Linked DNA regions of Astyanax mexicanus. The main gene of each other region encodes a partner of the protein of the gene in region 2 in a complex. Links are inferred from orthologs where the notes say so. Each region holds a gene or a part of one and is shown on either strand. Other genes may lie near its edges. The genes, in order: pqbp1, txnl4a, snrnp40 and lsm6.

Region 1 (7,422 bases), on a different chromosome or scaffold from region 2:
GTCATTGGGAGACAACCAGGACACCAAGTCTGTCTCTACGTTCCAGTAGTATGGGAGACCACTGAAAACAAACACAAGGGACGTTTGTGTCATTAAATATTTATAAAGCAATGATATAGGGGGGAAAATAATTTTATTTTATTCTTCCATATTTCTGTTATATCATCAGGCTCATTATGGTGTATACATGAATAACACACTAATCCAATCACAGCAAGTTTCATTACATAATCTGTTGTTATTGTCCAATCTAGCCCATTTAAAACTCTGGCAAAAGATTTAAATGAGGTGTCACATAAAACACATATATGAAGTCAATATATGGAACTAAGAAGATGCAATCCAGATAATTTGAATGAATGTTTTTTGTGTTATTTTTTATGTAATGTAGTACACAAGGGTTCTAGCATTGCAACGAGATTAAAACATAGTGCAATACAGGAAGCACTTACCAGGTAGGGTCCAGTACTTTGTACCAGTTGGTGGGTAAATTTTCAACCCTTGTAGCTTCATAGTCTACATTGTTGTCGTCATAGTCTTCAGCAATGATTTCCTCTTCATTGTCTTAAGAACAACAACATATCCAATCAGTCATAAGCAAAACATACATTGTATATTGACTACATTAAGAAGTACAGCTGACTATGTACTGTAAGCTGACATCTTACCATGTTCTGACTGCTTTAGGATTCCTCTCTTGGCCAGACGAGCCAGAAGAGCTGGTGGCAGAGGCATCTGGGGAGAAGAAAAATGGAGAGATATTTTGCATATTAATAACATGAAATTGTTAATTGTTGGTAAATTTATCTAGATTTTAGTAAGACACTCTAGAGAGATGAGGAAATCGCACAAAGATGCTCGTTATTATACATATGACTGTATATCCTGAAGATGTGAAAACATAAAAAAACAATTGCTGATGGGTGCGGATGTGTGGGCACAACCTGTTTGCAATATGTTTTATAGCTTTTTACAAGTAATGAAAGCTTGGCTTTCTTATGCCTGCTCATTACACCAATCAAAAAACAATAACTTTGTATTTTAGACAAGAACATAAAGCAACCAGATAAAAAAAAAAACATTAGTTGACTTACATGCCAACAACTGCATTTACAAATGGGGTGAACACATCCACCCAGATCTAGTCAATTTAAACTACAGACCAAACCCTAAAATCAGAATAGACGATACAGCACCACTCTCTAAAAAATAAAGATGTGTCTTAAAGCAGTAGTTCTCAACCCTGGTTCTGGTGTACCACTGTCCAGCATGTTGTAGTGTTTAGATGCTGCTTTAGTAGCAGAATTGGACTAAGCATAAATATTTTTAACTTACATTTATTTTGTTTGATTAGAGCTGAAAAATATATTGATATTTTTTCATACTGATAAGGATTAATTTCCTTCCTTCAATCAACTATATCATCATTGCTTAAAAAGCACTGACCCAAATGTACATTTATTGACAGAGTGTAAAAAAATTCTATTTCATTTTAGAATTTATAGAAATCACAGTATTCTACATAAAAAAGTATTTGAACAGTTAAAACACAATGCATACAGTTAATCAAATGATTATCTTTAAATACTGTGATATAATATTTTGCCATGTTATACAGATCTATTAGTATGTGATTACATACACCAAGGCTGGCTTTTACACTGTTCATAAAGATATTGGTATTAATTTAGAACTGGGCAAAAAAAGTTTTCGTTTATTTTGCACCATGGTCTTGGAATAACATTAAAAACAAATCACAGAGTTGGTTTTCTTGAGTGAGCTTAAATCCTTTCTGTGATGAATTCTGTGATAAGTAAAAAAATGTCTGTGATGGAAACATGCAATGGCTACTCTGACATGCCTGTTTTGTGCTTTCATGTTGGTTTTGTGTTTATTCTAAATGTAAATAAATGTTGTAATGTTCTGTAACTAGTGCTTCGACAGTGTCGATTATTTAAATGTGTCGACTACAAATTTCATTTTTGACTAATCGTTAATTTGTAACAGTACCGCATTACACAAAGTGGTGACAGAAACACAATGGGAGATGGTAAATGGCTCACTCATACAGTTTACACTCAATTTAGTATGTGTCTCCAAAAGTGCTCAAACACAACAGGTTACATATTTAATCACTACATATCAGTAGTTTACACGTTTAAACAACTTCTAGGCATTTAAATTGCTTTATAATTCTCATGTTCTATCGTTTTAGAGATGGGGGATCTGGCAGAAATAATCATTGAGTAATCGACTAGTCGAAAAAATAATCATCAGATTAGTCAACTACCAAAATATTCATTATTTGCAGCCCTATCTGTAATTGGAAATGGTGTGCCGTCCTGGCCAGATCTCCCTTGAAAAATAGATTTTTATCTCAAGGGACCTCCTGGTTAAAAAAATTAAGTAAATAAAAAAATATCGTATTGACCGAAATTAAGAATTATATCGTAATATTTTTTTTGCCATATCGTCCAGCACTATGTTTGGTCCTGACTCTTAGCAACTAAACCAGTGTTGTGGTCTGTGGCACTCTTAATTTATTTCTACTTCTTAGGACAGCTGTAACATTTGGTTGTATTATTGATGATCATTAAGGTGCTGTTTGCAGAGTAAAAACAAAACACGAGTTACAGCAAAACTAGTTACCCAGCACTTTCATTCAGCCCTCAGACTTAACGCTAGCTTAGCTAAATAGCATAGCACGTTACCCCAGCGTACTCAGACTCCTATTTAAACCATTATCTGCTGTATTTCAGCTAGATATCCATGCAAACCAGTGTCACAGCAGGCAATACAGTCTGCAGCATCTGTAAATAATCCACATTGATAAATTGAGAGAACCGCTGGTTTATTTACCTTAATAACAGCCGCGCGCTGCTAACTTTTCATTCACAGCAGCTACCAGCTTCAGTCGGCGCAGAAAAATGACGTCACGCTCCTCCCCCTTGTGGTCCCAGTGGGATTTAAGTGTTTTTGCTTGTTATAGAGAGCTATGGACAAGCATATAGAATAAATGAAATAAATAAATTACGTTAAATTAATTATAATAAAATTATACAGCTTATCGAGTGTCCGCTCCAGTCAAACAAGGAGTTTGATATGGTCCAATGAAATTAACAGTCCTTGGCGTTTCTGTTGAGACAGCCAATCACAGCACGGGATTACTTGTAGCGATCCTCCAACCGCAAGCAAAATGTAATAAAAGTACTTTATTTTAAATAATAAAAAAAACGACAAGAATGAAGATTCAGAATTATTTTAACCATTTCTCTTTCTTGACGTAATTTTGTACCTGGTACTTGGACCAATGCAAATGCTGCAAAATGACTTGAATAAACGAACCTGTTTTACGTCATCTTATACTTTGTGGCAATTTGGGCACCACAGGTTGGTGTTTTTATTCTCTACAGAAAACACAACCTCCAGGCATTTAATTGATTGTGAGAGTGGATGTTGAATAGCGTTTTATGTGTTACTAATGAGGAGTTGTTACTTTTTTGTGAGATTTACCTGAGAATTTGTGAATATATATAACATTTGGATTTGTAAGTGTTTTAGCCATTGTACTAATAAAGTGCAGTTAAAAGTATCTTTCTATCTTTCTCATGATACCCACTCTGTATGTCTGTCTATCTCTCTCTTTCTCTCTCTCTCTCCCTCCCACTTAGTCCAGTTCAGTTTAATAGTGATTTATTAGCATAAATGTAAAAAGAAACACTATTGCCAAAGCATATGACAGAAAACACATAAAAGCAAAATAATAATAATAATAATAATAATAATTACATACATGTATACAATTACAACAACTGGAGCTATTTACAGGCGTAAGCATTATTATTATTAATTATAATTGACAAGAAAAGGAAAATAAGGGTGAAAAGACTATAAATACGTAATAATAAGGAATAAATCAGTGATTTCGGTAAATTAGTTATAATAATTTTGTGTTTTTGTCCACACTGGTTTTCCCTCAGTGAGTGATCAGCTCCTTACTCCCTCTATCTCATGATACCCACTTTGTCTATCTGTCTCTGTTTCTCTCTCCATACCCATTCTAATTATTTTACGTTGTCTTTCTCTAGCACTCATTTGGCCACCAATGGTCAGTGTATTTATTTCTCTACAGAAAACATTTGTGCATTGACATAATGTATACTAAGTGTAACTGTACAATAACTTTGTATTGTGTGTTTATTTTCTTAATTAAAAAATGAGAAATACCTGGTGTAGGTACAAATACTGACATTTTAAATATTTTTTAATTTAGTTTATATACATTTAATGTACAAAGTTGGCATGTGTGCCTTATATTTTTTGTACTAGAAATGCAGACTCTCTTCTCTCTGGGGTGGAAAATCATTGCTAATCCTGTCCATCAGGTGGCGCTGAAACCCCGGCGGGCGGCTGCGTCACGGCGCCGAGGTCAGCGGCTGATCATGGAGGAGTATGCCCGTGAACCCTGGTAAAGTACAACTTCTGAGACAGCTTCTCTCTTTAACTAAACCACCGGTAAACAGAGCCGCTCTGACTCCGCTCAGAGGAGCATTTCCCCCGCCTGTGTGTGACTGTGTGTCGGCTCTGTTTCCTGTAGTTCCTGCAGTGAGTGTATGTGTGTGTTTGTGTGTGTGTGTGAGTGCAGTACAGCGCTCGGTTAGCGGGGCTGGCTAACAGCATAAACACCTCCTCCTCCTCCTCCTCAGGGTCGGGCTGCGAGTCTTACATCAGTGGAGCTATACACACACACACGAATATACAAATACTCACAGATACTACACATGCAGGAGGACCTCTTAGCCAGTAACAGCGTTTAATTACCACAGTAACGCACATTTAAATTCCTTAATAAGTAAAAGTAAAGTAAAGTAAAAATACAGGGAATTTTAGATTATATTGTCTGTTTTGTTATTTCTTAATTTGTCTTAGTTCTCCCGGTGTTTTCTCTTTGTCCTCCATAATTTTCCCAGTTTTCTGACACCATGTATGCTTACTCGTCTTACTTTACCACTCTTTATTTTATTAGTTTTTTTCTCATCTTTTTTTCTCACGGTTTTTACAGTTTTACTATTTCTCTGCATCTGTTTACTTCTCGCTTTCTGACCTTTACTTTCTCTGTTTGTCTATACCACCCGCTTCCCTGTTTCTTTTATTATACATAATTTAATCTCTCTGTCTCTCTCTTTCTCTCCCTTTCAGTCTCTCTGTCTGTATCCTTCTTTCAGTCTCTTTTAGTCTCATTGTCTTCTTCCCTTTCTCTCTCTTTCAGTGTCTTTGTCTCTTTCTTTTAGTCTATCTCTCTTTCTTTCAGTCTCTCTCCCTTTCTCTTTCAGCCTACCTCTCTTTCAGTCTCTCTCTCTCTGCATCCCTCTTTTTCTCTCTCTTTCAGTCTCTCTTTTTCTGTGTCTCCCTCTTTCTCCCTTTTGCAGTCTCTCTCTCTCTCTCTCTCTCTCTCTCTCTTTTTCTCAAAATACCCACTCTGTCTCTATTTCTATGTAATACCCTCTCTCATTCTCACGATTATACCCACCACTTACTCTATAATCTGTTTTTCTCACTCTGCTCTGCCCATTCTGTCTGGCTCTCTTTTTTCTCTCTCTTTCTGTTTTCTTTTTGTCTTTCCAAGATTCAACATTTAAAGTCGTTTTTTTCTTGCCTAACTGTAACTGTTTCTGTCAATGTTTGTCAGAAAATTAACAGAAAAAGAACAACAGTAATTATTAATATTTATTAGAGGTGTGCCAAAAAATCGATTCACATAAGAATCTTGATTCTCATTTACTACGATTCAGAATCGATTTAAAATGTCCCAAAATCGATTCTGAGGGGCGGGTTTTGGACTGATTTTGGGCTGGGTATTTTTGTTGGACCTGGCAACCCGCTTGTCCCTTCAAACCGAGGTCTTCCAGACCCACACAGAGCGTAGTAGGTGTTTGAGAATCACCGGTAAGATGGCAGAACAAGCACTATATTACTTTAGATTAACGTGTAGTTTTAATGTTTTATGGCAGAATGCTTCATAACAAGCATAAAAAAGATCGCTAGTAGTTAGTTTCAGTAACTGTTAGCTAGCTAACAAGCTAACTTTCCAGTTCCACCTTAAATAACGCTACAGGTGGCTGCGGGCTGCAGCATTTAAGGCGGAACGGAAAAATAACAATAAGCTAATCAGAGCTAATTTCAGCTCCTCATCACAGAGGAATTAAGGAATGGACAATATGAATTAATTTCTCCACCTCCTGCCCCCTTTCTGAAGAAATACAACGACCTTAAATTAACTAGTTAATCAGCAGCTGCTCCTGAACTTTAGCGCTCCACTGCTATCATCACATCAGCCCAGCAGCGTCACCTACACACCACCGCTAGTAGCCTGGTAATAAAGCAGTGTTATTTATTATTTATTTATTGTTCATTAACGTCATTGTGATATCCCAGTGATTCCTCTGTCACTGAGGACCCACATTCCTGCACATTTTATTGTTTTTGTAACACATTACTTGCTCCAGGACCAGTGTATATTATGGAGGGGTTTTTTTTTCAATAAGATTCATAAGCCAGAAGCAGAAATTTTTATAATTCAAATCGTTTTGAATCAAAAATCGATTTTGAATCGAATCGTGGCCCCCAAAATCGGAATCGAATCGAATCGTGAGATAGTAATCGATTCCCACCCCTAATATTTATAGACAACAGTCAGGTATGGTCTCTAAGGTGGTGACCCACTATAATAATACCCACTCTATCTGTCTATCTGTCTTCCTCTGTTTGTCTGTCTTATCTACCTGTCTTTCTCTGTTTCGTGATACCTCATGATCTTTTTTTCGTTATGTGTCTTTTTATCTCTTTATTTGCTCTCTCAGTCCTTGGAGAATAGTAGATGACTGCGGAGGTGCATTCACGATGGGGGCCATCGGTGGGGGGGTGTTTCAGTCCATCAAAGGCTTCAGGAATGCGCCTGTGGTGGGTGTTTCAGTGCCTAAATAATGACCTGATTTCATGCTGATTGTGAATTCTTTTGATTCTGATTAATCTCTCTCTCTCAGGGCGTACGACACCGGCTGAAAGGCAGTGCGAACGCTGTGAGAATTAGAGCACCGCAGATCGGTGGTAAGTTTTTCTGTTGTCCTGATTCTTGCTCTATTCTTCTCCTGCCTCTTTGTTCTCCTTCTGTTACAGTGAGAGACAAGCACAGACTGACCTGGATTCCCTGAGAGTATCAGTATTTTTACTGGGCTTGTGCTTCAGCCAAAAAAGATCAGGTTCCTAATAGTAAACAAGTGCTGTCAGGTATCAGTGTTACAGATATGATTATATTTGCTGCTTCATTCATTCACTCTCTGTTGGCATATGAGACTAAAACAGGTTCCTAACGACACTTATCAGGGCAGAAACTAAATGCTGCAGCTCCTCCTACTTTCTTGG
Region 2 (7,187 bases):
TCAGCCGGTATGTTTATTTGTTTCACAACAGTGGAAACAAAAGCCACTAACCTGAGATCTTATTTAAAGCACAACCATCCAGCTGAATACTGAATATAAAAATTGTTCCCCCAGAGAGATCCTGCCTCAAGCCCCACACGGTAAACATGCTGGTGTTTCTTGCTCAGAATTTGTCTGACAGTTACATTAAAAAATACATTTCTAGCTAAAGCTCTGGCCTGATGAGCTATCTGTGTGTCTTTGATCATATGCACAAAGCTAATGTGTGTTTTACTGCATAAATACATATATGATCAGAAAAAGGAATCTGCAAGTGCCCGTGTGTTCAGAGTTTTTTTTTTTAATAATTAATGTAAATGTTACATTAATCTATTTGTTGTTAATTTATTTTTTACAATAAGGGTTTAATATTTAGTGCAGTTTTTTCAGAACCCAGGGTGGGTGTACTTTATTTGTTTATTTAGGATATTAAAATATTTTTATATTGGGAGCCCAATGTCTGCACTTAATAATTTAAAGTTAGTTTATCTGTAAAATGGTGTAATAGTATTATGCTAGTATATTATTAGTGTGGCACATTGTCTTAAAGCACCTTTGGGAGCCCAGAAGCAGGAAACAAAAAATAAAATCTATAGTGGTGCTTTAAAATGACGATATTATCGTTTATCGCAATAATTTCTGGGACAATATATCGTCCTGAAAATTTTGTTATTGTTGGCCTACGTATGACAGTATGAAACACTTTGAAAACCCGCCCAACCCTAATTTGCATGAATAATCGATGAAATTACTGTAGAAAAACGATAGGGATAGCACGATAAACACTTTATCGTCCCCACAATATTTATCCTCATATAATACAGCACTAGTTTATAATATATACTTTTCATGTATTTAGTCCGACCATTTGAACCACACTATAATCCTGTTTACACAGTGTCACTTTTATTTCTTAGCCTTCTGACTAACTGAAGGCTATCAGGTGTAAATGCATGTGGGTAAAATCTAAAATTTACACAGCCTCAACCTTCATTTATATGTGGTGTGGTTCATGTAAACCCTGATGATGTATTTAAAAAGGATTACTACAGCTAATACACTCTGATTAAGCTCATTTTAAGCTTTGTGTTCTGAAATTCACAACATTGTCTCAAAAAAAAGGATGCAATCAAGAGAAGACAAAAGAAGAGAGATTACTAGAGAGATATTTTTAAATAGCTGTGTAGTGTTTTACACTGATAAATTAAAAGGATCAGACTCATATGGCAAACACTCACCTGAAAAAGAACATGACCGTACAAGGGTCATACAACTCGTACATCTTGTTAAAGTCTGGCACTTCAGTGATATCCACCAGGTAAATGACGGCAAAATTTTTGACCTGGGATTACACAGGAGAAAAGACAGAATGAGACAAATTACAAATTCTACAGTACAGAAATCTACCCATTTTTAGTAAGATACAAAAGCAAAATTGGGAGCAAAAGCAAAGTAATGATTATTTTAGATAAACAAGCATGTAGTCACCTTTTCAGCAATACTGTACAAAACCTCGTCCATTTTCATGCACGTGGGGTCCCAATCGTGACCAAATCGGATGACGAGCACACGGTCCTCCTCGGACAGAATGGCCTGGTCCACTTGCCAGCCGTTGTGGAGATGTGGAAGCATGTACGACATCTTGGCTCAAAAAATATTTTCCCTAAAGTAACACAAGAAAGACGAATGATGGTTCAGAATGTGTGCTGTTATGTTGTAGATCAATAGTTTTTAATCCAATCAGCTCTCACTTCTACCCCTAAACCCATACATCACATTGTCCTTTCCAAACTACCCCTCACTACTGCACATGAGGGTGGAGTTGGCTAAAATTAGGGGGCTTAGTTAAAATTGGTGTAACCGGATCTTTTAACTATGAATCATTTAACCGTTATTTTCACGCAGTAACAGATTGAGGGTAATTTACATTTAAATAGAAATTAAAAGCAAGAATTTAATCATGTGACCTAAAATAAGTAACGTCAAACAAAATCAAAATGAAATTATAAAAGCTTTAGAAAAACAAGATAAGATTTAATTAAGAAGAAATACAAATAAACTGAATAAAAGGATAAGTGCACAGGCTAAAATGTAAAGCAATAAAATTAAGAGATAAACGATTAGAATAATAAAATATATTAAATAAATGATATTAAAAAGCTTAAAGGCCAAAGGTAAAACAAGGAAAACAACAAATATAAAGACAAAATTAATAAAATAAATAAAACAAATTAAAAGTCTAAAAGGTAAAAACAGAAAATTAGATGAATAAAAAGAAAAAGAAATATGATTTAGTGACTCCGGTGAGCTGTGTTTTAGAGTTTCCTGACTAACTACTTTTAATTGCGGCTCGTTTTCCTGACATTAGTGATTAAATGCAACAGTATTTGGTTTTGTAAATGTAATTTTTTGTGTATTGATTTTTAATAAAGAGATGAAAAGCAGTGAAATGTAATGCAATAGTGATCATTTAATTTTGGTAAATACAGCTGCATAATGCAGCTGGTGGATTGTATTTACATTTTTTCCTCGGTTGTGTTTTAGCTTTTTAATCAGGCATTAATTATTTTCAATATAAATCACAGTTACAGTGTATATTCATGATTATACTTTATATTCTCTACTTTAAATAGAGGCTAGATAACCGAGTTTAGCTTAGTTTAGATATCAGCTTCTTAAAATTTCTGGAACACTCCAGGCAGCTATGCTAAGCTAAGTAGTTTGCTTACTACTAGTCTGGGTATCTAAACCCGTTTACAGAGTAAAAGTAAAGATTTAAGTAAGTAAAAACAGATTTAAAAGGGACAATGTACAGTAAAACAGATGAGTAACGTGAATATTACCTTCAGTAAGAGGAAATCAGTGTAGTTTGTGTTTATTTGTGCTGCTGTTCTCTGCCTCTATCAGACCTCCCCCATCCGCCGGAGCTCTTCGCGGACTGAGCAGGATACGGAAGTGACGACACACACGTGCGCACGGAGGCGCGTACTCACGTAACGTGGGTACACTATACCGGTGCGTCTCAATGAAATAGAATATTATTAAAAGTAACTTTATTTCAGTAATTCAGTTCAAAATGTGAAACTCATATATTATATAGATGTATTAAACACAGAGTGATATATTTTAAACGTTTATTTTCTTTTATTGTTGATAATTATGGCTTGAAGCCAATGAAAACCCAAAAAAAGCAGTGTCTCAGAAAATGTTAATATTATACAAGAATGATTGGTGCATTTAGCAGTGTGCCAAGTCCTGCTGGAAAATGAAATCAGCATCTCCATGAAAGTTATCGTCAGCAGAGGGAAGCTGTAAGATATGAAGTGCTGTAAGATTTTGTGGGGAAACAAAACTGACTTTAACAAAACAAGACTTTAGACTTGATAATAAAACACAGTGGATCAACACCAGCAGATTGAACTGAATTGCTGAAATAAAGGAAGTATTAAAGTATAGAGCAAAGTTTTCAATGATATTCTGATTTTTTGAGATGCACCTGTATTGTCTATATTGCGAGAAGAATTCTATCACCCACCTAAATCATGGTACTCAGGTGTTTCAATCACGTATTTCAACCAAGTTATATAAATAAAATATAGATAACAATTGTTTAGGGGAAAACAATGAGTCAAATACCCTGTGATGCTAAATGTGGAATTAGGGCTACTTTTCACACTGAATTACACCCCGATATTGGACAAATTTATATTAATATTTAAGAAACACAAGGTAAATGTTTATTGGACTTTGTGTATAATTTACAGGACAGTCAGAAAACATATAAAAGCCTAAAAAATCTTAAAGGAAATGCATCATTTTGGATAAAAATTAAAAGGTCAAAGGCTTATCTAATTAAAACTATCAGATGAAAATATTATATGAGCTTAAAATCACCCATCTCAAAGAATTGCCCCTATGTATTACGCACAGTTGTCTTTTATACTGAATCAAACTTTTACGAACAACGAACCATACAAAATGATTACTATTGAGAAATGTCTTATGCATTGATGTATGAAGTCAAAATATTAAATAAAATGTTTTAAAATAAAGCAGACATTAACAGCACATACAGTGTTTCAAGGTGTAACTTTATTTTGCATTCTTTCTTACATAGTGCCCTTACAAATGCTCCACTATGCAATCTGCCTTGTTTTTTAAAGAGATAAGCTTGAAATCAAGTTGTGAGCAAATATGTTAAATCTTTTAACAGTCTTACATTCCACTATTACAAAAACCAAATGCTCATGAACCATGCTTACAAATGGCAATGAAACAACAGACCGCCATGCTTACAACAGAGTGGTACCTCAGGGCTGGTAGGCCAGAGAAATGAAACAGTTTACTGAAACTTGTACAGTGGTGTAGTAAGCTACCAATTTCAGGGCCAAGCCTTTATTTAAAAGGACTTATCGCTATCCCAATGTTTCAAATCATCCCGATCCAGAGACCCACGAAGTAAGAGAGTAAGAGACCATGATAGAAGGAGGCTGAAAGGGAAACTCATGTTTAGGCACAATTCTATGTAAAGTAACACACACTGACATACCATACTGACATATCATGTAGGCACAGAATAAATGAGGAAGCACTTAAACAGAATACTGGAACCGTACAGGAAAGAAAACGGGTAACTTCTTAAATACGTTGAACTACACTACTATGAAAGCGCTTTAACTAAATGCGCCTCAGTTTTATATTAATATCCAGGTATAAAAAGTTGATAATATGCTAAAATGTAAAAAACAAACCAACAAACAAACAAGAACGAACAGAAACAAAGTGAAGGCAAAAGTAATAAACACACTGTAAAACATGTGAGTTGTCTGAATGTAATGGGAAAACATTTCTCAAAGTTTTAACAGTACTGTGTAGAATGACTACTAAAACTAATATTACTGAACAGCATATAAGTCCAGATGCACTGTAAGTTCAACTTATTATTTAAGTTTACTTCCAAGAAAAAGGAGTCTACACAGATTTCTAAGGAAATGAACGTGGTCCTGTGAGAACTGATCTACCTTTAATACAATATACCTTGTTTTTGCATTGTTTTGAGGAGTCTCCCACTCCATTTGTTCCTGTTTCTGAATTATTTATTCATCTTTAAAAGAAAAACAAAACAAAACTAGTCAACCTCTCGGGCCTCTTCGCTCTGACCATTTTGTTCTGGGGTTTCAGCTCCCGGGGTGTCTTGTTCCATGTTTTCTGGGTCTGGCGTTTGTGCTTCCGGGCTTTCTGGTTCCATGTAATCTGGGTCTTGGGTTTCCGATTCCAGAGGTTCTGATCCCGCGGATTCTGAACCCGGGGATTCTGGTTCTGTGTCTGCAGAGGTCTTCTCCGGCTCAATCTGGGGAATAACCAGGTCGTGCTTCAGTTTCAACAACTCCGTCATTTTGAAACCTAAAAGCACGGCGGCTCTGTTTTTCTGCAGGTGCTTCATGCATCTGGTGCGCTTCGATCCGATCTGGCAGGCGATGTCGGTTTTGTTCAGCAGTAGGCGATTACTCAAGGCGATAATCTCCTTCTTGAGCGGATAGGGCTGTTTGTTGAAGTACTTGTTCACAAAATCCCTCCGATCTTCAAATGACCGTATATCCATTCCAGCAGGGTCCAAAGCGAACTGCACTGAAGGATCAACCTGCATATCAGGCGACGGAGGAGTCAAACCTGCTAACCTGTCTCTCTCCAACTTCCTTTTCCTTGCTAGCCTGGCCTCTCTTTCTTTCTTGTTTGCCGCTATGGCCTCCTTCACGGCTAGCTCCAGCCTCAACTTGCTCTGCAGTTCCGCGGCTGTATGCGGGGACTGGATCGCAGGGACCGAGGCTTGGACTGGAGCTGGAACTTGAATCGAAGACTGTCTTGGAGGTGGAGGAAACGAGAGCAGCCCTTGGCTTCCTCTGGGCGCAACGGCTAGACCAGAACTCATTATCCTCTCGGCATCTCTAGGGGTCTTGGGCGCAGAGCGACACTTGGATATGTGGACGGAGATTGCCTTCTCTGTAGTTTTCCCCGTGTACACTCCACCACAGTAGACGCACTTGTATGCCGGGGATTTGAGTATAGCATGAAGGGTAGGTACAATGTAGTGCTTCTCTCGGAGGTGAAGCTGATAACACTCCATGTTCAGCTGCTTTTCAGAACAGAAAACACAGTCTAAACTGTCTGGTTTTGGCATGGGCATCTTGCACACTTGCTGAGGACTTGCAGGCAGCATCTTCAAGAATATCAAATCAAGGGAGTTGGTGACTAGAGCCAAGTTAAGCTCCTTTTCTCCCATCATCTCCTTTGGCGCTGTGGTGTTGATGTCAAAGTAAGGGAACAGGAGGCTGCCACTTTCGTCAGTGTAAAGACGATACTCTCGCCTCATGAAGTCACAGTTCGCCTTTTGGTTGGGATTGTGATCCATTTGGATGTGCGCAACCAGCTGCTTGAGAGAATAGAACATCCCTGAACAGTACAGGCAGTTCAGGCCGTGAAGCAGATGTTCAAAAAGTCCTTTTTCAGAGAGCAAGATCTTGCACATCAGACATTTCACAGTCTTGTCTGGCATCTTCTTCAAGAAGGGTGCTCGGGCGGCTAGGCCTAGCTTGGTCTTCTTGGACGCCTCTTTATGGACCTCGACGTGGGATTCGTATATGCTGGATGGGAAAAGCTCATTACAAACAGGACAGGTGACCCATCTCTTGGTTTGCTTGGAGTCCTGGGAGCCATTGCTGGCCAAGGCGTTGTGCTGAAGTGTGGGGACATGATGCGGCACAGGCAACGGCGCGTTGTTGGCCATTTGCATGTTATTTGGCCGGACAGACAAAACATGCAGTGGCGCAAGAGTGTAGGTAGGTAGGCCGTCCACTTTGTTGCCCGTGGGAATCAGATGACTTAGGAGAGACTGTGATGTCAACATGGTGCCCCTAGGAGTTGGCTGGTTCACAGGGAACCGTGGAGATACAATCAACGATTGCGGTGTTGGTGGTGGTGGTGGAGGTCCTCTTACAGATGGCACGTTGAACTGCATTCCTGGCGGGACCAGAACTTGACGGGAAGGAGGCTGCATCTGACCAGGCACTCCCAACCTGACTGGTAGCTGCTGGTGTGGCATAACCGGATGCATTGCAGGCGGAGGTGCCATGCCTCCCATGACAGGTACC
Region 3 (7,415 bases), about 50 Mb from region 2:
TAATCAATTGTGTTTAGTTATCAATTATGAGTGCCATATTATTGAGTGTCTGCTCTCAGTTGTGTACCTCTTTGCCAATGACTTTAATCCAAACTTGCTCACCAACGTCCACGATTTCAGAAGGATTCTCTATTCGAGTTGCAGACATCTCACTCTTATGAACCAAACCTGTTAAGAGACAAGTGTGACTAATTCCATATTTTTATGTTTATCCTGAGTGAAAATAAAGGTTGATTTATTGATTGATATTATTAATTACAGACATATCTCAGAGCCACATACAGGAGAGAAGCTGTATCCAGACAAGACCACACAACAGAATTGGGACTAAAATAAACGCTAAATTATATGAATGAATTAAACTACAACAAGTATGACCAACATAAATATCAGCATAACAATCAAAGAGTTGTAGCACAATACACAGGCTGTGTGCCGATTGCTTTCTACACACTTGAGCTGCATAATATTGGGGAAAAAATATATTTTATAGTACAAGATTTTCACCACCTTATACCTGAAATATTAATAAAAATGTAATCAAATAAGTGGTATTGGGAATATATAATGTACAACTGGTAGATAATTCATGGAAATGGAAATCTAATCTTAGTGTGGGTTTGGAACAAAATATTAATACATGAAGTGTATGCATATGAAGTGCTAAAGTATTACTTTTCCAACAATGGTCGCTGCCCTGGCATCTTTGTCCACCATTATTTTGTTTTTATTTTTTTTCAGACATTACACATTACATTGTCCTTTGTAACCACAACCAACAACTGACTAATTCTCAGTACAAAATATGGATATTTGAGTATTTTGAGATTTTTATTCAGACTACACAACCAAAAACTAGGTATTACTAATTTGTTTGCAACCGGGACACACTCATAGTGCTAAATGTGAACAGGCAGTCATGGAATACAGTAGCTAGTGTGGCTAGGGTAGTCTGAGCACCTCTTAATAAGTGTGCAGGTGGAAGATGTGAAGCAGTTAGTTATAGAAGAAAGTGACAGCCTCTTGCGTAAATGCTTTGTAGAGAGGAAATTACTCATATGTTGTCATATTTTGGTTATTTGATATACTTTTCAAACCAGCTTTACATTTTTTCTTTGCTTTTTGCTGCAGAAACACACTCTACATTTCTTGCACCAAGACTGCTTATTCCAAGAACTTGGCATTTAGCTTTTTAGGCCTGATGTTAGATGATGGGTTTAAGCATGCAGCTCCAGAGCCCAATGTTCAGGCTTTATACCGCCCTTTACCCTTATACCGACATTAAGCGTTAGTCATGGTGAATTCAGGCTCATTGGCTGCTCACCTAAAAGATTGCAAGGGTTAAAGTGTATGTGAGTGGTGTCATTCACCATCCACAATTGAATAAGACAATGAAAAGTCACCTTGCTTCCTGTATCCTGGAATCTTTACAAAAGCTCCATAATCTGTTACAGAAGCCACCTACAAAGGTAAAAGAGAAACAGAAAGAAAAATAGGAGGCGTTACCAATTAATAAGAAAAAACCCTTGAGGAGTTTACAATCTCTCTCTCTGCTCAGCTGTTACCAGGTCTCACCTCTCCTCGCAGGATACTGTACAGCTCTGGCAGTCCATCCAGCCCAGCTGGCTCTCTATGCTCACCAGCCATCGATGCTCTAGGTTGAAACAGAAAAACACATAGAAGGCATTACAAAAAGCACAGTTAGTGGCAACGTACAAATTTGGTATCAAAATATGCTCTCATAGAAATACAAAGACATACATATGATCAATGGTCTGTAAGCACTGGTAATATTTAACATATCCCCTAGTGTTATTTGTGTTACCATTTGATTCCCCCCAATGTATAAGTAATCACCAATCACAATCATTTAACTGAATTTTCTGAATCAGCTTTGCTAAAAATATTGTCATTTAGAGCATTTATTTGCAGAAAATGAGAAATGGCTGAAATAACAAAAAAGATGCAGAGCTTTCAGACCTCAAATAAATGAAGTTTTAAGAGTTCAGAAATCAATATTTGCTGCAATAACCCTGGTTTTAATCACAGCTTTTTATGCATCTTGGCATGTGCTCCTCCACCAGTCTTACACACTGCTTTTGGATACTCCTGGTGCAAAATTCAAGCAGTTCAGCTTGGTTTGATGGCTTGTGATCATCCATCTTCCTCTTTATGATGTTCCAGAGGTTTTCACTTTGGTTAAATCAAGTTGTCTTTTAACCCAGAGCTGTACAGGTCCTTCTAAAAAAATAGCATATTGTGAAAAAGTTCATTCTTTTCCATAATAAAATGATAAAAATTAAACTTTCATATATTTTAGATTCATTGCACACCAACTAAAATATTTCAGGTCTTTTATTATTTAATACTGATGATTTTGGCATACAGCTCATGAAAACCCAAAATTCATATCTCACAAAATTAGCATATCATGAAAAGGTTCTCTAAACGAGCTATGAACCTAATCATCTGAATCAACGAATTAACTCATAACACCTGCAAAAGATTCCTGAGGCTTTTAAAAACTCCCAGCCTGGTTCATTACTCAAAACCCCAATCATGAGTAAGACTGCGGACCTGACTGCTGTCCAGAAGGCCATCATTGACCCTCAAGCAAGAGGGTAAGACACAGAAAGAAATTTCTGAATGAATAGGCTGTTCCCAGAGTGCTGTATCAAGGAAGTCTGTGGGAAGGAAAAAGTGTGGAAGAAAACGCTGCACAGCGAGAAGAGGTGACCGGACCCTGAGGAAGATTGTGGAGAAGGGCCGATTCCAGACCTTGGGGGACCTGTGGAAGCAGTGGACTGAGTCTGGAGTAGAAACATCCAGAGCCACGGTGCACAGGCGTGGGCAGGAAATGGGCTACAGGTGCCGCATTCCCCAGGTCAAGCCACTTTTGAACCAGAAACAGCGGCAGAAGCGCCTGACCTGGGCTACAGAGAAGCAGCACTGGACTGTTGCTCAATTTTTGCATGTCATTCAGAAATCAAGGTGCCAGAGTCTGGAGGAAGACTGGGGAGAAGGAAATACCAAAATGCCTGAAGTCCAGTGTCAAGTACCTACAGTCAGTGTTGGTCTGGGGTGCCATGTCAGCTGCTGGTGTTGGTCCACTGTGTTTTATGAAGGGCAGGGTCAATGCAGCCAGCTATTAGGAGATTTTGGAGCACTTCATGCTTCCGTCTGCTGAAAAGCTTTATGGAGATGAAGATTTCATTTTTCAGCATGACCTTGCACCTGCACACAGTGCCAAAACCACTGGTAAATGGTTTACTGACCATGGTATTACTGTGCTCAATTGGCCTGCCAACTCTCCTGACCTGAACCCCATAGAGAATCTGTGGGATATAGTGAAGAGAAAGTTGAGAGACGCAAGACCCAACATTTTGGATGAGCTTAAGGCCGCTATCGAAGCATCCTGGGCCTCCATAACACTTCAGCAGTGCCACAGGCTGATTGCTTTCATGCCACGCCGCATTCAAGCAGTCATTTCTGCAAAAGGATTCCCGACCAAGAATTGAGTGCATAACTGAACAAAATTATTTGAAGGTTGACTTTTTTGTATTAAAAACACTTCTTTTATTGGTTGGATGAAATATGCTAATTCTTTGAGATTTTTTTTTTTTTTTTTTACTTTTTTGCCAAAATCATCAATATTAAAACAATAAAAGGCTTGAACTACTTCAGTTGTGTGTAATGAATCTAAAATATATACATTACAGAAAATAATGAACTTTATCACAATATGCTAATTTTTTGAGAAGGACCTGTGTATGCAGTGTTAAAGTTTTAGATATTATTTATTCGAGTTTTAACTAGCAATAACACGGTTATACAGTTTTCACTACTATAAATTGCTGTGGATATCTGGTATTGCAATTTCTACTAGTTAAAATGTAGTTATAAATAAGAGAGAATAAAATTCCATAGCTTATGTCACTATGAACTGAATTATCTGCTCTTCATTTAAAAAAGCATGCTACATTTTAGATTACATTTTAATTTAAGAACTGTCCATTATAAACATCTATTATATATAAACCAATAATAGAAGGAAACGTTGCTGAACTTACTGCTTTCTTCAGGTGAATCCAGGTCAGATGGGAGAGAACGGAACCGGTTTGTGGATGAAGAATAAGGCTGGAGGAGCTTTTATGAAGTCGGTAGATCTTAGTTTAGGATAAATTAAGCATTTCATGCAGTTAAAATACTTAAATAAACCAATAGGTCAGCAAATAATCAGCCTATACTTTCAGTAACACACACTGAATAAACTCGTGCAGGGCTCGTGTTGTTGTTCTGCTCCGCTTACAACTTCCTGTTCAAATGGGCCTCCGCACGGCCAACAGCCAATCAGGAGCCGGCAAACATGAACGGACCAATCAAACGCCCCGATATCACCGGAAGTGTTTGTATTTCACCCCGGCGTGGTGTTAATGGTGGACGGTGAGGAGATCCGTTCAGCTGAATTTAAACTCATACAGAGAACCCCGACCCCCGGCTCCAGCTCATACCCCCGCCTCACCCCGAGAGACCCCGCCGCTAAACACCATGATCGAGCCGAAAAAGCGCGGCGCGGACATGGCGCTGGTTCCCGCCGCCGTGAAGAGACCGAGGAGCGAGCTGGTGGCCGCAGCGCAGAACCAGCAGATCGCCACCATGGTAACTAACAGTCTGATAATCTGGTAAAAAACACAGACAGGGAGATATTACTGTAAAACACTGTACAATTATGAGGTACACTACAGTGTGGTATGTCTGGAGTAACCACACCAGATTTCTGTAGTAGAAACTTTTGTTTCAGATGTGGTATGATGTACTGGTTTAGGAATAATATCAGCTCTACAGATCAATCTAATAAAGCCATTCCTATCACCTGGAGCACAACCCTTTCGAATGTTCTGTATTTATTCATAAATATGACCTAAAACATCATCAGATTTTCAAACAAGTCTTAAAGTAGGTAAAGATATTAAACATATTATACATTGCCATTTATTTATTTAGGAAAATTATCCAATATTACACACAGCTCTGGGAAAAAAGGAGACCACTTCAGGTCTGAAGATTGACCGTCAACTTATTTGAATGTCTGTCAGCAACCGCAGAATAACATTAAGTGACCTATAAAAAGAATGGCAAATGGCAGCTGGGTTGAAGTGCATGGAAAGAACAGTTCAAAACAATCTCTCAGAGGCGGGCTAGAAAAAGTACATTCTCCAATGAGAAGCAAAAAAAGAACCAGGCTAAAGTTTCCAAATTTGTCTATAGAGGACTGGAGTAAGGTCATCTTCTCTAATGAGTCTAATTTTCAGATTTGCTCAACACATGGCCATCAAATGTTTAGATGGAGACCTGCAAAGATGTAAAAGACACAGCTTGCACCCACTGTGACATTTGGTAGAAAATCATTAATGATCTGGGGATGCTTCAGCAAGGATGGAATTGAGCAGTTTGGTTTTTGTGAATGACACATGATTCAAGCCGTATACAAGGTTACCCTGGAAGAAAACTTGCTTCGTTCTGAACTCTTCTTTAGATTAAACTTTAGTATTGTTGTTGTTTCTAAATAAAGGCGAACTTGTTTAGCTTTGCATTATTTGAGGTTTGAAAGCATGGCATCTTTATCGTTAATTTGACCATTTCTTATTTTCTGCAAATAAATGCACTAAATTACAATATTTTTAATTGGAATTTTGAAGAATGTTGTCCGTAGTTTATAGAAACTACATATACCTATAAATAGTTAAATCAGAGAAACAGATTATTTTAAAGTGTTCTCTTAATTTTTTCCAGAGCTGTATTTGTGAGTGGCAAAAGTATATGAGCCTCTGCTTTCAGTATCTGGTAGTCTAAATAAACATTGAATCAATGTCAGAATTTCAACGATGCCAGTGAAGGATTGTAAAATTAAGATAGAAAAACAATCATTAACCTGAAATGATGTACTGCAATAAAAAAGAGCGTTTATTATATGTTTATTCAAACATATCTCTAATTTAGTTCTAATAGCCAGTAAAAATGCATTCAACATATGTGCAGTGTTAAATAGCTTTAATACAATAGCTTAAATACTGTTATTGGTATGTAAAACTCGGAACTAAGTTAGTATCTGTATAACTGGTGTTATTTTAGTTAATAATTTGTTAATAGTTGTTATAACAATTCTTTGCCTCAGTTTGAAAATTGTTTCCTTATATTAACCAAAGCATTATTTTGTCAGGGTCCTCCTCGCAGCTCCAGTTTACAGGCTCCTATAATGTTGCTGTCTGGACATGAAGGAGAAGTCTACTGCTGCAAGTTTCATCCCAATGGAGCCATGCTAGCTTCTGCAGGATATGACCGCCTCATCTGTAAGACTATACTCTGAGCACGTTTGTGAAAATGCACTGAGCGTTAATTTATTATTGTGTTGTCTTTCTTTCTGTGAGCCATAATGGTAAAAGAACCACATGATGGTGCTTATAATTTGCTAATTTCATGGGGTCAGAGCCTCAGAATTAAATATAGTCAAAATTCTTAAAAAAAAAAACAACAACTGTAGATGGTCAGTTTTGGTTTTATTCTGCTATGGGCTAGTCTCAGTCAAAAAGACCCAATTACTGTAACATAATGTGTATATCTGTTTGACCCCCTCTGCATAAGTTTAATAGTTTAGCTAATTACATTTTCTTGTAATAAGCTGGGTATTCTGTCTGAAATGATGTTTGTGTGTTTTGCAGTGTTATGGAGTGTGTACGGAGACTGTGAGAACTTTGCCACATTGAAAGGCCACAGTGGAGCTGTGATGGAGCTTCACTACAATACAGATGGAAGGTGTGTTTTAAAGTGTAAATAAGTTATAGCATAGATCAGGGTATCTGTAGATGTCTTGCATTCATTTATTAAAGAAAAGACTTTGATTAGATTTAAAGCATTTTAAACCCATCTCCCATAGGTCTTAAAACTACAGGTTTGTTTTTATTTTCAAGCATTGCATTTTACAGTTTTTAAATTTGGAATGCAGGGTAGCTTACTGATTTAACTGCAGACCGAGCAAAGTGGCGTAATTTAAGGTTCTGAGTTGTGCTACTTACAGGTATGTTAATTACTTGCTATTAGATTTCCCCAATTTTTTACTGGACCTTGTTTTTTAGTGGACGGTTTTATTTCCGTTTGTGTAAAACTGTTAATTTCTGTTTTTTATTTATATATTTGTTTAGAAATCACAAGCGTTTATTCTTTTTGGTTTGTTTTTTGCCTTAATTTTTTCTCTAAGCATGTTTAAAAAATTTTGTCTTGCATGCCGATAACCTGAGATTCATCCTTTTTTTTCATGGTGATCCTTTTTAAAGGTAACTTCTTAAGTCATACTTCTTTCTCTCTCTTTTTTCAGCTTGCTCTACTCAGCCAGTACGGATAAGACTGTGTGTGTGTGG
Region 4 (7,887 bases), on a different chromosome or scaffold from region 2:
GAGTGTTTTCGTACCAAAGTACACAGAAACATCATCCTCCCTATTAGTGTGAAAAAGTATGTTTTTTCACAAGTTTTATTGGCTCTTTAAGGCTGGACACTCCTGCTTCTGCACAGGTAATAACAGCTTAAGTGTAGGATCAGTAAAATAATTCCCTTTATTCAAGCTTGTTTTGTAAAAAAATATATATATAAAAATGATCAAATCATAATTTCGAAGCAGCTGTGCAATTTATTTAAAGGTTGTACATGGGTGTTGTGGAGTTCAGTCTTGTGTAAATTGTGGTATTGAAATATCATAATTAAAGGAGAAGCATCATTACTTTATTTCAACCATTATAATCCAGTGCAGTTTACTAAGCCAGTGAAATACCTACTTAGTTATAAATAAATACTGACGGTTTAACACTTTCTGTAACACTACTCTAAGGGTTTCAGTACATTATATATTGTATATTACCATTTCTGTAAAACATATTAAAATACAAGTTTTTAGTCATATTGTCTAACTCTTATGTGTGGGAAACATAAATAAGATCAGTTTAAAAAACAAAAGTAATGTGAGGTTGTCACCAAGACAAGATAAGGATTTTGTCTCCCTCCAATAACAAAATACAACACTTCAGCAATTTATTTAGACTACCAGTGTAAAATATATAAATCTTGAGAAAGCCCATATAATGGAAGAAAAATACATAACAGATGCAGCTTCAGCACACAGCAAATTACAGCAGGAGTTCATTTTCAGCTACTCAAAGCAGCAGTGGTGCTTTTACCTCTGTAATCCACTCCAGAGTTCAGTTTCACCACCACTGGCCTTCCAATGATCTGCTTCAGGAAGTCACTGGGGGTCTGCTTCCGGAGGCTCATTTTGACTAACAGGGAGTGAAAAAGAAAAAAAAGAGAGTGAATTATAAATGAAGAATGAATAATAATGAGCTGACGAGCTGCAAGTCTGCATTTCAATCTCACACTAATCACATGTTTAATATTTCTGATGTTGCAGTAATTCATGCGAACTCATTTTTTATACCCACACAAAAGTATCTGTACCTTGTTAATCCTTTTTTTTTCTTTTCAGCTTGAACACAATGCTCATCTTTACACTGTTAGACTTATTAAAAAACAACTATTATAAACTATTAAAGAGCATTTCCTAATAGACACACAAAATGGTTGTACAGATTAAGTGGTTACTGTATCAAATCCATGCTAGGCTGTTGCCACGTGATTGCCATGTTATTCCAGGTGGTTTCTATGATATTTCTAGCTAGTTACTGTGGTATCCAAAGTAGTTGTTAAGGTGTTGTTATGAGGTTTCACCTGACTGCAAGTATACAGTGAAGTGAAATGACAATAAAGCAACATAGGACTCTCAATGAAATACATAAAGTGCAATGTGCAAACATAAACCTAGAACATAAGACTAGAAAGAAATAGCAATATACATGAAATATACATATCAGTTAGACAGTTAACAGATGGGACAGTGCAGTGCTGGCACAGAGAGTGTGGTGAGGATAAGTTAAAGAGACAGCTATGCAACTTATACAGCATGTAGGTACATGCATCTGCTTATAACTTACAGTGAAATAAATAATTATTTGATTCCTTGCTGATTCCCCACTGACAAAAGACATCTACAATTTTAAGTGTAGGTTCATTTTAACAATAAAATATATAAAACATAAAATCCAGAAAAATCACATTGTATAAATGATATACATTGATATGCATTTTACAGATACCATTTTTATTATTTATTATTTCTTTCACTGTGAAAGATAGAATTAGAATCATAGGCTGTTCATGTCTTTGTCAGTAAGCAAACCTACAAAAACAGCAAGGGATCAAATAATTATTTGCCTCACTGTATATAAACAGTAGTTTGAGATACACAGTACTAGTTGTAGAATTAGAGCTGGGCAATAGATCAATATTTTATCATATCTTGACACTTTCTTATTGAATAAACAAGATGCTTTAATAAGCATACTGAGTACACCATCAATATTTGACGATTATTAATGTACTTAAAATCAGCTTGATTGTTGGTTCATTTACTGATTTTGGACTTGATATATCACAGTGGACAAACACCAGCAGATGACCATCAGTAAAGTTTACATTTTATTAGGAAAATCAAGGAAGTCTGGAGGAAGAGTGGAGAGACACACAGTGCATGCTGCTTGAGGTCTAGTGTGAAGTTTCCACCAATCAGTGATGATTTGGAGAGACATCATGTCATCTGCTGGTGTTTCTCGGAAAATCTTACAGCCATTCATGCTTGCCTTTGCTGACAACATTTATGGAGATGCAGATTTCATTTTCCAGCAGGACTTGGCACACTGCCCACACTGCCAAAAATAAGTCTTATATAATATTCTAATTTTCTGAGATATTGATTTTTGGGTTTTCATTGGCTGTAAGTCATAATCAACAACAGTAACACTTATATAATATATGAGTTTCTCATTCTGAACTGAATTAACTTACTGAAATAAAGTAAAATTGTTTTTTGAGATTCACTAGTATAGTAACGTTACTGTGTTTAGCTAAAACTGTATAACAAAATACTGTATAAATACTGTAAAAAAAACTCGGGCAGTTCTGTCTGCTAAAACCACGTAAATCTCACATATCTACAGTAAAAGGTTCAATTTGTGCAGTTAGGCTAGATTATCTAGTTTAGTTAAACCAGTGAATTCTACAGTATTATCTAGCAGTTAGCCACGTTAGCCTAGCCTAGCTACACATCTAACTGCCTCCAAACCCGCATAATAAACAAACCTCCGCTATAAACCCGCACTATTACTGTAACTACAGCGATTTATTCTTATAAACTGCGGGTTTATATCCCGCACTGAATCCATAACCCGCCGGATTATACTCACCTTATTTTAGCGCAGGTTAGCTTAGCTGCTGCTTCAACAACGTTCTCTGCACGTCCCGGTGTTGATGGCGCTCCACCAATCAGCAGCCGAGCTTAGTACAGAACTACGGGTGCCGCTGAGGGACAGTTCGCCTTCACGACAAAGGGCTTTTATATTATATTATATTATATTATATTATATTATATTATATTATATTATATTATATTATATTATATTATATTATATTATATTATATTATATTATATTATATTATATTATATTATATTATATTATATTATATTATATTATATTATATTATATTATATTATATTATATTATATTATTAAAATAAAAATATGTAATGTTTCACTTTTTACAGATGAAAAATATGTAAAAAAAAAAAAAAGAAAAAATAAACAATAAATTAATTAAAAATGCAAAACTGGAGATACAAGTATTTGATTTGCAGGACATCAAAATTGTAATATTATACAATTATAATACAGTTATAATAAGTCGTAATATTGTTATATTTTAAAAAAATCTGATTCAGTAAAAAATAATAAAATCAATTAATTAATTAAAATAATACAAAATACTACTGAATATTGAACAAGATGAACTGCAGTCCCTTGATAATTGTGAGTTTCACATTAGTGATAGTTACAAACAACCTCCCACCATGAATTGTTCATGTTCATATCAAATCAAATCAAATTTATTTGTATAGCGCTGGTGTTGGCACAAAGCAGCTTTACAGAAATGTGATCAAAGGACAAAGAATCAGGCAAAACATTAAACATAGAAAATACAGAACACAGGACCCCCAGTGAGCGCGGAGGCAAGGAAAAACTCCCTCAGAGCTGCAGGAGGAGGAAGAAACCTTGGGAGGACCAAGACTCACATTTAAGGGGTGACCATCCTACCACTGGTCAAACGGCTTTTAAATTAAAATATAAAAAGTCTTTATACATCCACATAGGTTTTATATATTCTGGAGTATATGTAAGGATGTAATCTGTAGTGGAGAGTAAGATTGATGATGAGCAGCTGATCTGTGGTGGGTGATGGAGAAGAGCTGACTTCAGAAATTTCCATCAGTCTGGCCGGACAGGGGACATGAGAGCCCGAGGGTCCAACATCCATCGGTATTGGGTCAGACAGGTGGGCAGTCAGTAACTCGGAGGAAGGCAGAGAGATGGAATTAGTTTTACTGGATTTATGTAAAACAGAAAATATAAAACATAAAACTCAGATCTGAATAAACTAACTAAAGGGAGAGAGCCAGAAGGTAACATAGACACGGAGCCTCCCTGAAACATCAGCATCCACCCACTCCACCGTCCACAAACCTGAGTGACCGTGTGCAGTGGGAGAACAACAGCACCAGCATCTCAGTTTACCCACAATTCCCTCTGTCCATGAACCCCTGAATCTGCAGCCTTATCTAAAAGGAGAAACATTAATTACCAAAAGCTAAATAAACAAGTAAGTTTTCAATCTAGACTTCATATTTAATAGTTTTTACATTTAACTTTTTTACATATTTCCATGTAAAAATAAAGATTTATGCTGCAGTTGATTTGAACCAAGTAAGAAATTGCAAATACCAGACAGCAAAATATTGACATTAAATCAATATTATTTATTTATTCAATATAACTGTATTGATCTCTGATATCAAAATGAATTTATTTGTGCATGTTGATTCAACATTAATTTAGTATTATTGTTTTATAATAATGGTTTGTATTACATTTTACTTACATTATATATGCATATCTTGTTTGTGTTCTATTAGTATAGTCTATATAATGTGGTCTTGCAGTGTAGAAAAGGACATTTAAATAATAATTATTAATAATCTTATTATTAATAGAGTATAAGAGATCAACCTTTTAAAACCTTTAAATTAATGTTGATTTAATTACAGAATTTGAACACTAACCAATGCCTATCAAAGTTAACATACATAACATACTACACAGTGCAGTATCATCATTCCATCCAGAGATGCAATCTTCTCATTTTCAGTTTCAGAGCATCAGTATGGTTCTGAAGCTACTCTTTAAGGGTAAAATTGCTACATAATATTGCTTTCAACAGTTCAACCTTTTTGTCAATACTATATTGAACTGCTTGTGCTTAGAGTTTACAAAAGAAACTGTTACAAGTTAGGACTGTACAAATGTAATGGTGATCAGTACACTGCAAAAAAATAAAAATGAAGCCAGAATCTTCCGCCGTTTTGGCGATTCAGAGACCAGAGTCTGCGCAGTAGAGACCAGAGTAGGGAGAAAGGCTGTTGAGAGCTCCTACTCATTTAAATAACCCCGCCCCTGAGGGCTGCCTCGCGGTCACAGACTGCAGAGCGGGGCGGAGCGGAGCTGACGGTCTGTTATTGGTCCCGCCCATAACCAGCCCTTTTACCATAACCACACCTTTTTTGAATAGAGCCGAATAAAGTTTCAAAAACCGAATTCTGTGGGGATATAAAAAATTGACAATATAAGCAGAGGCTACACTAGCTGCTGCATTTAAATAATGGAGGTAGAATTAGAGTATATTAGAAAAAAAACGTGATTGAAAGTTGTCTGCTTTGCCATTGAAACCTATGGGGATGGGTGGGGTTACACAGCTTTCTGCAGCCGAACAGCAGGGGGCGCCCGACCTGTGGTGGCTTCACTTTTAAGAGACGATGCTCTGTCCAGCTATATACAGTCTATGATATTTACAATTATGGCATTTAGCTGATGCTCTTATCCAGAGCGACTTACAAGCTTGTTCCTATTACAGAGGTGGGCCAATGTAGTGTTAGGAGTCTAGCCCAGGGACTCTTATTGGTGTAGCACAGCATTCAGTCACCCAGGCAGATAGTGGTGTTATCCACTGCGCCACACCAACCATACTTGTCTTTCTCTTGTAAGTCGTGTAAGATTCTTTGGCTTATTTTAGGACTTATGATCATAATCAGTCTTACTTAGAATTTAAACTGAAAATAAGCCAAAACTGACATTTTGTGAGTGCTTATTTTAGGAACTCTTACTAAGAAAAATTTGTTTACCACTTTGGCTGTTTCTTTGCTTAATTTAAACATATACAACTCTTATTTAACTATATTTTCCAATTCATTTTTTTTTTGCAATGTTTTATCCAATGTTATTCAGCAGCCCCTTAAGCATTGTTGGTCAAGCTCACACTTGCATTGATTATTATGGTATTATGGTATTATCATCTCTTTTTCTTCTACCGCTCTGTCCTAAGAACTTGTCGGAGTGAAGGCTGAGTTAAGAGGAGCCGTGGAAGGGAGGATGGATGTAGGTGGAGGATAAACAGTGAGGAGAGAGAGCAGGGCTGGAGAGCAGTGTGCGCTGCTGCTTTCAGGCAGAGCGAGGCAGGAACCTGAGAGGCAGAATCATAAAGCACGTCTGGCGCATCCAGACAGTTTGCTTGTTAGCGGGGCATGGCGAGCCCTGCGGAGGCTAGAGGTTAATTTGGTATCTGGCGCCGTGTTAAACTAAGGTCAGCGCTACAAGTCCTTAAGTCATAAACAAGTGTGGTTAAGAACCGCGTACACACCTAGGCACAGGTTAATGAATATTCAATGAACGTTTTTTTTTTTTCCTCTCTCTTTCTTTCTTCCCCTCGTCGCTTCCCTCGGTCCGTGTCCGGAAGGGGCTTGGAGGAAGGGAAGCCATTCGGAGGCTTTAACGCCTGCCCTTAATCAAAGCGATTGTTGTGTGTTATATACCGGCTGCTTTCTGAAGGTCCAGCAGGAGAAAAACAGCAGGATTGATAATAATGGAGGGGTAGTACGAGCTACTGTCATGATGTTGTGAGGTTGTGAGCTGAGCGATACAAATACACACACACACATACACACACACACACATACATACATGCACACACACACAAAGAGTGCCCACACACACATACACGCTTGTACACACTCGTACACACTCGTACACATACACGATATTGACCTTCCTGGTGTACTGCAGCTCATTCTTGACTTTACTGGACAGGAGCCAAGAGCCAGGCTTGTTAAGTGATACTGAATGAAAACACAATGGAGCCGTGGAGACACAACTTGGGTTTCACGAGCTTTTTCCTCTACGCCATTGTGCCAGTTGCCTGGAGAGGCGATGAGAATGTTTCCCGCAGCCTCTGTGCGCAGGAGAAGAAGACGTTTTAACCTTATTGACCTGTCCTTCTGGATCGGCGCTGCTCTGCGGCACCACGTTTTCTCTTTCATGATGAAATGAATAAAGCGATTGGTGGCTCTGCGGCTTTCTCGCGCCGCCGGGTGTGGGTGGGCCTCATGCAAATACAAAACTGATTTGCGAAAGACAAAAGGCGGCGCAGACCGTTCGAGCGCGCTGCGAGCGGGCGACCCTTGGACGAGTGCCCTGAGCCTTGACCGATGCGAAAGCTGTAACTCAACAGTAATAGCCGCCCGGAGAGGGCAGATGGGACTGTTTTTCGGGGCCTGGCTCGGAGATACCGGGGGGTGCTCAGATGGACAGTGGCACAGTTGATTTGCTGGTACAACCTGCTTCACCTTTCCAAGCCCCTGAAGACCTGAGAGGGAGGGGAGGCGAAATGAAAAGATTACAGTGGGAGCTATGGCAGGGTTAGAGAGGAGGAGCGTAGAGAGTGTAGGAGCTGCTGAGGAGCGGGGGAAAAAAAAAACACAAAAAAAAAGAAAACAGGGGGCGGGGGTAACCCTTGCCTGCCGCAGGCACATTCGCTGGGAAGAAGAAGAAGACGGAAGGGAGGCAGGCATGGAGAGATGGACGGATGGCGGGGAGAGTCTAGACTGAGCTGACCTTCGCGGGCGAGGGCTTTCTCTCCGGGGTCAGCCTGGATATGGAGGGAGGGGGGGTATAATGGAAAAACCTCGAGGGAGTTTTCAAATGAAAACCAGATTGGCTGCCGGCGTGTACTTTCTCTCCTTTCTCTCCCGCCCCCACCCTCCCCCCATCCGCCCTCTCCCTAATCCCCGCACTGGATGG

The links.
Region 1: the proteins of txnl4a (region 2) and pqbp1 are in contact, whole or in part, in a crystal structure (PDB 4BWQ), measured with the Homo sapiens proteins. The link is inferred for Astyanax mexicanus from reciprocal best matches to the Homo sapiens genes TXNL4A and PQBP1. Residues at the interface, in NP_006692.1 of Homo sapiens: Gly11, Trp12, Val14, Asp15, Ile18, Asp68, Phe69, Met72, Tyr73, Glu74, Met82, Phe84, Asn87, His89, Met91, Gly97, Asn98, Asn99, Asn100, Lys101, Leu129; in NP_001027553.1 of Homo sapiens: Gln241, Gln242, Arg243, Pro244, Tyr245, Pro246, Ser247, Pro248, Gly249, Val251, Leu252, Ala254, Asn255.
Region 3: txnl4a (region 2) and snrnp40 share a complex: the UniProt entries of both Homo sapiens proteins name them as parts of the U4/U6-U5 tri-snRNP complex. The link is inferred for Astyanax mexicanus from reciprocal best matches to the Homo sapiens genes TXNL4A and SNRNP40.
Region 4: txnl4a (region 2) and lsm6 share a complex: the UniProt entries of both Homo sapiens proteins name them as parts of the precatalytic spliceosome. The link is inferred for Astyanax mexicanus from reciprocal best matches to the Homo sapiens genes TXNL4A and LSM6.

What each region holds. Positions count from the first base shown.
Region 1 is NC_064419.1:20,725,475-20,732,896, forward strand, and holds the start of pqbp1 (polyglutamine-binding protein 1), read right to left. Parts: upstream 3,012-7,422; 5' UTR 2,860-3,011; intron 736-2,859; coding exon 669-735; intron 565-668; coding exon 453-564; intron 62-452; coding exon 1-61. Other genes in the region: timm17b (mitochondrial import inner membrane translocase subunit Tim17-B), read left to right, coding at 4,443-4,468, 6,861-6,960, 7,044-7,107. UniProt on the Homo sapiens protein: Intrinsically disordered protein that acts as a scaffold, and which is involved in different processes, such as pre-mRNA splicing, transcription regulation, innate immunity and neuron development.
Region 2 is NC_064410.1:756,042-763,228, reverse strand, and holds the start of txnl4a (thioredoxin-like protein 4A), read right to left. Parts: upstream 3,018-7,187; 5' UTR 2,883-3,017; intron 1,703-2,882; 5' UTR 1,681-1,702; coding exon 1,528-1,680; intron 1,382-1,527; coding exon 1,278-1,381; intron 1-1,277. Other genes in the region: adnp2b (activity-dependent neuroprotector homeobox protein 2b), read right to left, coding at 5,168-7,187. UniProt on the Homo sapiens protein: Plays a role in pre-mRNA splicing as component of the U5 snRNP and U4/U6-U5 tri-snRNP complexes that are involved in spliceosome assembly, and as component of the precatalytic spliceosome (spliceosome B complex).
Region 3 is NC_064410.1:50,280,401-50,287,815, forward strand, and holds the start of snrnp40 (U5 small nuclear ribonucleoprotein 40 kDa protein), read left to right. Parts: upstream 1-4,414; 5' UTR 4,415-4,548; coding exon 4,549-4,659; intron 4,660-6,220; coding exon 6,221-6,350; intron 6,351-6,719; coding exon 6,720-6,813; intron 6,814-7,372; coding exon 7,373-7,415. Other genes in the region: zcchc17 (nucleolar protein of 40 kDa), read right to left, coding at 68-168, 1,404-1,461, 1,576-1,654, 2,091-2,158. UniProt on the Homo sapiens protein: Required for pre-mRNA splicing as component of the activated spliceosome. Component of the U5 small nuclear ribonucleoprotein (snRNP) complex and the U4/U6-U5 tri-snRNP complex, building blocks of the spliceosome.
Region 4 is NC_064414.1:49,786,687-49,794,573, reverse strand, and holds the start of lsm6 (U6 snRNA-associated Sm-like protein LSm6), read right to left. Parts: upstream 3,013-7,887; 5' UTR 2,894-3,012; intron 875-2,893; 5' UTR 870-874; coding exon 776-869; intron 1-775. UniProt on the Homo sapiens protein: Plays a role in pre-mRNA splicing as component of the U4/U6-U5 tri-snRNP complex that is involved in spliceosome assembly, and as component of the precatalytic spliceosome (spliceosome B complex).